Linked DNA regions of Arabidopsis thaliana. Each later gene encodes a partner of the first gene's protein in a complex. Each region holds a gene or a part of one and is shown in the gene's direction. Other genes may lie near its edges.

Region 1 (3,923 bases):
GGAACCACTAAACCAAACGAAATACAGAAATTTCGAACCAAACCGGATCGATTCTACGTGTATTAAACGTCGTCGTTTTTGTTAGCTAAAAAGAAGAAATAGTAAATATCCATTAGAAGAAGAAGACGAAGCAGAGGAATCTAGGGTTTATGCTACATTGAAGCAAAGATGGTTACGAGCAGCGATCAAATCCAAAATGGTTCTGAAGAGCAATCAAAAAGATCAGAGATTTACACATACGAAGCACCATGGCAGATCTACGCAATGAACTGGAGCATTCGTCGAGACAAGAAGTATCGGCTCGCAATCACAAGCCTCATCGAGCAATATCCGAATCGCGTCGAAATTGTTCAGCTTGATGAATCAAATGGTGAGATTCGTTCAGATCCAAATCTCTGCTTCGAACATCCTTACCCACCAACGAAAACCAGTTTCATACCCGATAAAGAATGTCAAAGACCCGATCTTTTAGCTACTTCTAGTGATTTCCTTCGTTTATGGCGAATCTCTGATGATGAATCTCGTGTTGAGCTTAAGTCTTGTCTTAGTAGTGATAAGAATAGTGAGTTTAGTGGTCCAATCACTTCATTTGATTGGAATGAAGCTGAGCCTAGACGAATTGGTACTTCTAGTATTGATACCACTTGTACTATTTGGGATATAGAGCGTGAAGTTGTTGATACCCAGCTTATTGCTCATGATAAAGAGGTTTATGACATTGCTTGGGGTGGTGTTGGTGTCTTTGCCTCTGTCTCAGAGGATGGTTCCGTTAGAGTGTTTGATCTCCGTGATAAGGAGCATTCGACGATTATCTACGAGAGTGGTGAGCCTAGTACTCCTTTGGTGCGACTTAGTTGGAACAAGCAGGATCCGAGGTATATGGCTACTGTTATCATGGGCAGTGCTAAAATTGTTGTGTTGGATATTCGGTTTCCGGCTCTTCCTGTCGTGGAGCTTCAGCGACATCAGGCTAGTGTCAATGCTATAGCTTGGGCTCCTCATAGCTCTTCCCATATCTGCTCCGCTGGAGATGATTCTCAGGCGTTGATTTGGGATATATCTTCCATGGGACAGCATGTTGAAGGTGGTCTGGATCCGATTCTAGCTTACACAGCCGGCGCTGAGGTTGAGCAGCTTCAGTGGTCATCTTCTCAGCCTGATTGGGTTGCCATTGCCTTCTCTAACAAGCTGCAGATTCTCCGGGTCTGATTATGTTTTACAGATTTCTGTTGGATACTTGGATGTAAAAACTCGTTGCTATTGTTGATTAATGATCTTTTGATCTCTGACTCTAAGCCTCATTGAGTTTCCTTTCATAGTATGGTCTGTGTAGGAACTATGTACCTTCAAAATTGTGAATAACTAGCTTTAGCATTGGATTTGATTAGACGTATGGAAGTTAGTTTTGAACAGAGAGCATGTGACATAACGGGGAACTTGAAGTAGATTATGACTAACACCAGCATTTATGTTTCTCTGCCCTCGAGCTGATGGAGTTGCAGGATTTTGTCTGCCTCACCATCGTATGGAATGTGTAGCTTTCTATGGTAGTTGTTATAAGTTTTGTCTCCATTGTCCATATCACTTTATGGGTATGTAGATTTGTGAAATTAGGCATTTGTAACATCGTACAGATGATGTATTCTTCATTACTTCAATACAGGCATATAGACTCTCTGTCCAACTTAAAAGGCATACAAGGTCTGTGGTTTACCAAAATCAGCTTTACTAAATCCTTTGGCCAATATTCTCTCAGCCAGTCCTAAGAACCTCTGCTCTAAAAAGTCTTAGCTTTGAAAGTCAGACAAATGGAGAGCAGCCTTATCCTCCTTTTATAACCGTGACCACACACACAAATGAAGAAGCCCAAATGAAAGGCCCAAAAATCTAAAAAATAGGTGAAGGAGGGACTTTGTGAATATGTGATCATAGAAACATGAAGAGACAAGAGAGTGGTAAAACCACAACCATAGAAACAAGTAAGAAAGCTATCCAGAATCTAATCTTATTTGCCTCCAAGTCATCAATTCTTTATCCTATATTACTAGTCTCTGCTTCACCAATCCTTTTTGCTCTCCTGTCTGCTACAAACCTTAACTTGGATTCTTTCTGGTCACCATGGCTTCGGTTACTTTCTCTGTCCCCAAGGTACCTTCCTCCTTCTTCTTCTTCTCTTCTTCAGGTCTCTCTTACACAAGTTAACTAAATGTTGTGTTTTGTTTTCAGGGTTTCACTGAATTCTCAGGATTGCGAAGCTCCTCTGCTTCTCTTCCCTTCGGCAAGAAACTTTCTTCCGATGAGTTCGTTTCCATCGTCTCCTTCCAGACTTCTGCAGTGAGTTCTCTGTTCTCCTCCAACATTATTTGTAGCTTACGTGTTCTTCCTTATGATGATCATCAACTATATGAAATGTTTGTACCTATATGCATGTCTATCGATAAATCGGATGAATTATGTTTGCTTCTGTTTCTCGCCGGTTTTGTAAACTATTTGGATGGTTGTTCTGTTTGTGTATCAGATGGGAAGCAGTGGTGGATACAGGAAAGGTGTGACTGAGGCCAAGCTTAAGGTGGCCATTAATGGATTCGGTAGGATCGGGAGGAACTTCCTGAGATGTTGGCATGGTCGCAAGGACTCTCCTCTTGATATCATTGCCATTAATGACACTGGTGGCGTCAAGCAGGCTTCGCATTTACTTAAATACGACTCTACTCTCGGAATCTTTGATGCTGATGTCAAACCTTCTGGAGAGACTGCAATCTCTGTTGATGGAAAGATCATCCAAGTTGTCTCTAACCGAAACCCGTCTCTTCTCCCTTGGAAGTAAGTCGAAAAACCACTTATGTGATCAGTCTTTTTATCTCAAGTCTAGAATAAGCATTTGAATTGGATATGGTTGGTATCTTAGGGAGCTAGGAATTGACATTGTCATCGAAGGAACCGGAGTGTTTGTGGATAGAGAAGGTGCAGGGAAACACATTGAAGCTGGTGCCAAGAAGGTTATCATTACTGCTCCAGGCAAAGGAGATATTCCAACTTATGTCGTTGGTGTCAATGCAGATGCTTACAGTCATGATGAACCTATCATCAGCAATGCATCTTGCACTACCAACTGTCTTGCTCCCTTTGTCAAAGTTCTTGACCAGAAATTCGGTATGCAATCCGTTTTCCGCTTTCGCTTTTCGTGTTCTCTCACGGGATCAATGAAACGGGTTTTAATGTGTTTGTAACATTGCAGGTATCATAAAGGGTACAATGACGACTACTCACTCTTACACCGGTGACCAGAGGTTGCTAGACGCGAGTCACCGTGATCTAAGGAGAGCAAGAGCAGCTGCTTTGAACATTGTTCCTACTTCTACAGGAGCAGCTAAAGCTGTGGCTCTTGTGCTCCCTAACCTCAAAGGAAAACTCAACGGGATCGCTCTCCGTGTACCAACACCAAACGTATCAGTGGTTGATCTCGTTGTGCAGGTCTCAAAGAAGACATTTGCTGAGGAAGTCAACGCTGCTTTCAGAGATTCTGCAGAGAAAGAGCTTAAAGGTATACTCGATGTCTGCGATGAGCCACTAGTGTCCGTTGATTTCAGATGCTCAGATTTTTCAACGACCATTGATTCATCACTCACTATGGTTATGGGAGATGATATGGTTAAGGTGATTGCTTGGTATGATAATGAATGGGGTTACTCACAGAGAGTTGTTGACTTGGCTGACATTGTTGCCAACAACTGGAAGTGATTTCATCAAACTTTGTTTCATGTTTTTCCATTTTTTTCTCTTTCTCTTTTTTACATTATGGTTCTCAAAATATCGGTGAAGACTGTATAATTGTAGTATGGATTTGTAATAAATAATCATAAACTATTCAAACTTGTTTACATTTTGTGTTTTGTGATACACTTTTCAGTATAGCTAATGGC
Region 2 (3,923 bases), on another chromosome or scaffold:
TGAGAATTTTGATTGGATTTGGTTCAACTAATGGTGGTTTTAAAATATCAATGATAGGTGTTAAAATCTTTTTCCTGGCCACAATATATGCATTGATCGGATGTCCACTCTCTTATGTACTATGGTACAGGCCACTCTACCGAGCCATGAGGTAATATTCCTGCTCACTGGTTCTCTTCCATTTGTATAAGTACAATTACAGGCGATATAATTGAAATACATTTTACGGCCTTGCAGGACTGACAGTGCTTTGAAGTTTGGTTGGTTTTTCTTCACCTACTTGGTGAGTTCATAAAACCTATTTATATCTTACCTTTAAGTAGATATACTTCCATTTTCCACATGATTGACCTGAGCTCCTTACAGATTCACATTGGCTTCTGCATCGTTGCTGCCATCGCCCCTCCAATCTTTTTCCATGGAAAATCATTAACGTAAGTCTTCCAATAATAGCCTACGTTTCTACTTGCGTTTGAGTGTACTCTTACTTCATATGTAGTTGGTTAGTCTGGTGAGGGCTTCAATTGGAAAGTTCTAAATTGTTCTGAAAGGTTTATTAATATTCAGTTGTTACAAAATAATGAGGATTATGACTACAAGTAGAAGTGAGAATCTAGCTGTGATTCACCTCTGTATGTTTTGTTGCCTTGAGATTAACTTAAAAACCCTTTCTCTTATTTCGATCAACAGGGGTGTGCTTGCAGCAATTGATGTCATCTCAGACAGTTTATTAGCTGGGGTATGAGCTATACACCTATTTTACATTTCATGACGACGCCTATAATATATTCAATGTGTCTAACCCTAATGAATGATGGCAGATCTTCTACTTTATCGGATTCGGTCTCTTCTGCTTGGAGTCACTGCTGAGTCTATGGGTTCTTCAGGTAAGCCTCTGATCATACTTTTCATGGCTTCTTCAAAACTGTTGACGTTGATGAAACCAGTAAACATTTGATTGATCTGGTTTCCCATTTTGGCTTTGCAGAAAATTTACCTCTACTTTAGGGGAAACAAGTGAAAAGGAGATAAAGAGGAAGATGATGGTAATTTTCCCTTACGATATAAGGTCTGAAATATGTGTATCTCCTATGAATGTAATTACCATTTTACCGTTTGATGCGTTGTGTTGATTGAGGTAAATTCTTTAGTTACTATAGTAGCAAGAGAGAGTGGTTGTTCGGCCATTTCTTTATGTTTTTTACTCTGTTCTTCTCTGGTCTGTAATATACCAATATCGTCTCTTAGCTTTTGGGATTTTTTTTCGGCGAAGTGGATGGACTATTTAGACAAAAAAAAATCATAGCTATGAATTATTAGTAGCGACTCTCTTCGGTCTGAATCTTAGAATCTGGTCCTTCTGATTATCATTGCGTATAACAAAGTATAGATGTTTCGATATGGCCGTGAACTTTATGAATTTTTTTTTTTGCAAACACCATGACTCGAGAGAGATAAAACTTCGTTAAATTCTTCTGTTGAGCAAAATAAGAACTTTTTTTCATTTGCAAACTCCATGAGTCAAAACTCAAAAGAGATTAAAGTAATTTTTTTGGAAAGATTTAATGTGAGTCCATAGTTTTTACTTTTTAACCTAACAAATTCTCTGACCCGTTATAGTTTCATGCTTGACATGGAAGTTGTATGGTGGTTGGTGGAGACTACGTTCAATGTGTCCAAGAATAAGCAACTAGTGCCGACTCTATCGCGGTCGATAAATAAACCATGGTTTTGTTTTTTTAATCCCGATGTAATCTCTTTTACTAATTACCCTACGGTGAAATTCATGAGTAATAAACTTCTGGTATCTGTTCACAAAAAAAAAAAAAAAAAAAAAACTCTTGGTGTCTTTATTAATTGGTAGGCTTGAAGCCCATTGTTAAGGTAACGCAAGAAGGCTTTGATCCCTATAGAAAAAAATAAAAGCATAAAAAGGTAAGTTGTTCAAAGACCATAAAGATTCGAAGCCAAGGGGGGATATACGGTGACGTGTAAATGTGACCCACATAATACTCTCTCCTTCATCTTCAGACCTTAAACACCTAATCCCCATCTGTCCAATTAGAATCTCCCACGTGTCAATTCAAATATCCAAATCCCAAAAAAATAAGCAAATAACCACCAAGCAACGTCTCCCTCCATGCCCTGTTAGTTTTATCACTTCATCGGCAACTCCACTCCTCTCCCAAACTCTATTCTCCAAATTATCTTTTAGCCAAAAAAATCAAACAAAATTACCATAAGTTTATTACTTCATGAAGTAAATAAGATATGATCTTTGGTTTTTTAATGGCTATAAATGTTTTCTTATCCTCTTATCTTATCAACAACATCTTAACATAGAGACTAATCAACATTACAAACAATTTTACTTCAAGAAACCAAAACATGAGCCAATCATCACACAACCACATTAAACCAAAACAAAACAAAATAAAACTCCTTTTCTTCTCTGCAAATTGCCATCTGTTTTTCCTATAGACCCATTGTCCTCCTCTCATTTCTCTCTTTCCCCATTTAATCTTATTTTCAAAAAAAAAAAAAATCACATCTCTATATCACCACACAAAAAACCATAAAATCAAAAATCGTTACCCACATTTCTTTCATTCTATCCTAAATCCTCATCACTCAACCTGAGCTCACAAAGCTAAACAAAAAAAAAAGAGCTTAGGCGGAGAAGAAGAGGAGACCAAAACACCAAACAAACAACAATGGCTGTCTCAACTATCTACTCAACACAAGCTCTCAATTCAACTCATTTCTTAACCTCTTCTTCCTCCTCCAAACAAGTCTTCCTCTACCGTCGTCAACCACAAACCAACCGTAGATTCAACACACTCATCACTTGCGCACAAGAAACCATCGTGATCGGACTAGCTGCTGACTCTGGCTGCGGCAAAAGTACCTTTATGCGGAGGCTCACCAGCGTCTTTGGTGGCGCTGCTAAGCCACCAAAAGGCGGGAACCCTGATTCCAACACACTCATCAGCGACACGACCACTGTGATCTGTCTTGATGATTACCATTCTTTGGATAGGTACGGTAGGAAAGAGCAGAAAGTCACCGCTTTGGACCCACGCGCCAATGACTTTGATCTCATGTATGAGCAAGTCAAAGCTCTTAAGAATGGTATAGCCGTCGAGAAACCGATTTATAACCATGTCACTGGACTTCTTGACCCTCCGGAGCTTATTCAGCCTCCTAAGATTCTTGTCATCGAAGGTCTTCACCCAATGTAAGCTACACATACTCTGTTATGATACTCTGTTTTGTATCTTAGACATACTCAAATTTTAGAGTTTGGAAGTCTCTTATCTTGTCGGAATTTCGATGATTAAGAATCTGGACTTAGATTTATACTAGAATCAGTATCAGAATAATTAAAGATGGATCTTTGAATCTATGCATGTAGTGTGTGACACCGATTAATTTTTATTCGAATAATTAAGTCTATAGTTTTGGTACTTGTAATGTTTTATAATAATATTTATCTACTTGTGAAGGTTTGATGAGCGAGTAAGAGACTTACTAGACTTCAGTATCTACTTGGACATTAGCAACGAAGTCAAATTCGCTTGGAAAATTCAGGTGAATTTCTTTGAATAATTCAACTACATTTACACCATTTTGTGGAACGTTTTCGGTTTATCTTATAAAACTGAATCTGTAACGTTTTTGATGGTCACAGAGGGACATGGCTGAAAGAGGTCACAGTTTGGAGAGCATCAAAGCGAGTATCGAAGCCCGAAAGCCCGACTTCGATGCATTCATCGGTAACACTCCTAATTTCTTGATGTAACCCCGTGTCATATTCGGCTTGATCAGTTTATAATATTTTCAATGGCTTATACAGACCCGCAAAAGCAGTACGCGGATGCGGTCATAGAAGTGCTTCCTACGACTCTGATCCCAGATGACAA

What was found.
Region 2: the proteins of GAPA (region 1) and PRK are in contact, whole or in part, in a crystal structure (PDB 6KEZ), measured with the Arabidopsis thaliana proteins. Residues at the interface, in NP_566796.2 of Arabidopsis thaliana: Lys312 (codon at 3,484), Thr313 (codon at 3,487), Phe314 (codon at 3,490), Glu316 (codon at 3,496), Glu317 (codon at 3,499), Ala320 (codon at 3,508), Arg323 (codon at 3,517), Lys328 (codon at 3,532), Asp365 (codon at 3,643); in NP_174486.1 of Arabidopsis thaliana: Lys292, Asp327, Ile330, Glu333, Phe343, Tyr344, Gly345, Thr348, Leu352.

What each region holds. Positions count from the first base shown.
Region 1 is NC_003074.8:9,793,108-9,797,030, forward strand, and holds the start of GAPA (glyceraldehyde 3-phosphate dehydrogenase A subunit), read left to right. Parts: upstream 1-1,754; 5' UTR 1,755-2,118; coding exon 2,119-2,148; intron 2,149-2,226; coding exon 2,227-2,334; intron 2,335-2,518; coding exon 2,519-2,823; intron 2,824-2,908; coding exon 2,909-3,153; intron 3,154-3,238; coding exon 3,239-3,741; 3' UTR 3,742-3,923. Other genes in the region: LWD2 (Transducin/WD40 repeat-like superfamily protein), read left to right, coding at 169-1,209. UniProt on the Arabidopsis thaliana protein: Involved in the photosynthetic reductive pentose phosphate pathway (Calvin-Benson cycle). Catalyzes the reduction of 1,3-diphosphoglycerate by NADPH.
Region 2 is NC_003070.9:11,529,954-11,533,876, forward strand, and holds the start of PRK (phosphoribulokinase), read left to right. Parts: upstream 1-2,245; 5' UTR 2,246-2,714; coding exon 2,715-3,238; intron 3,239-3,506; coding exon 3,507-3,591; intron 3,592-3,691; coding exon 3,692-3,776; intron 3,777-3,856; coding exon 3,857-3,923. Other genes in the region: SCAMP5 (SCAMP family protein), read left to right, coding at 58-151, 238-283, 367-434, 691-739, 822-887, 989-1,021.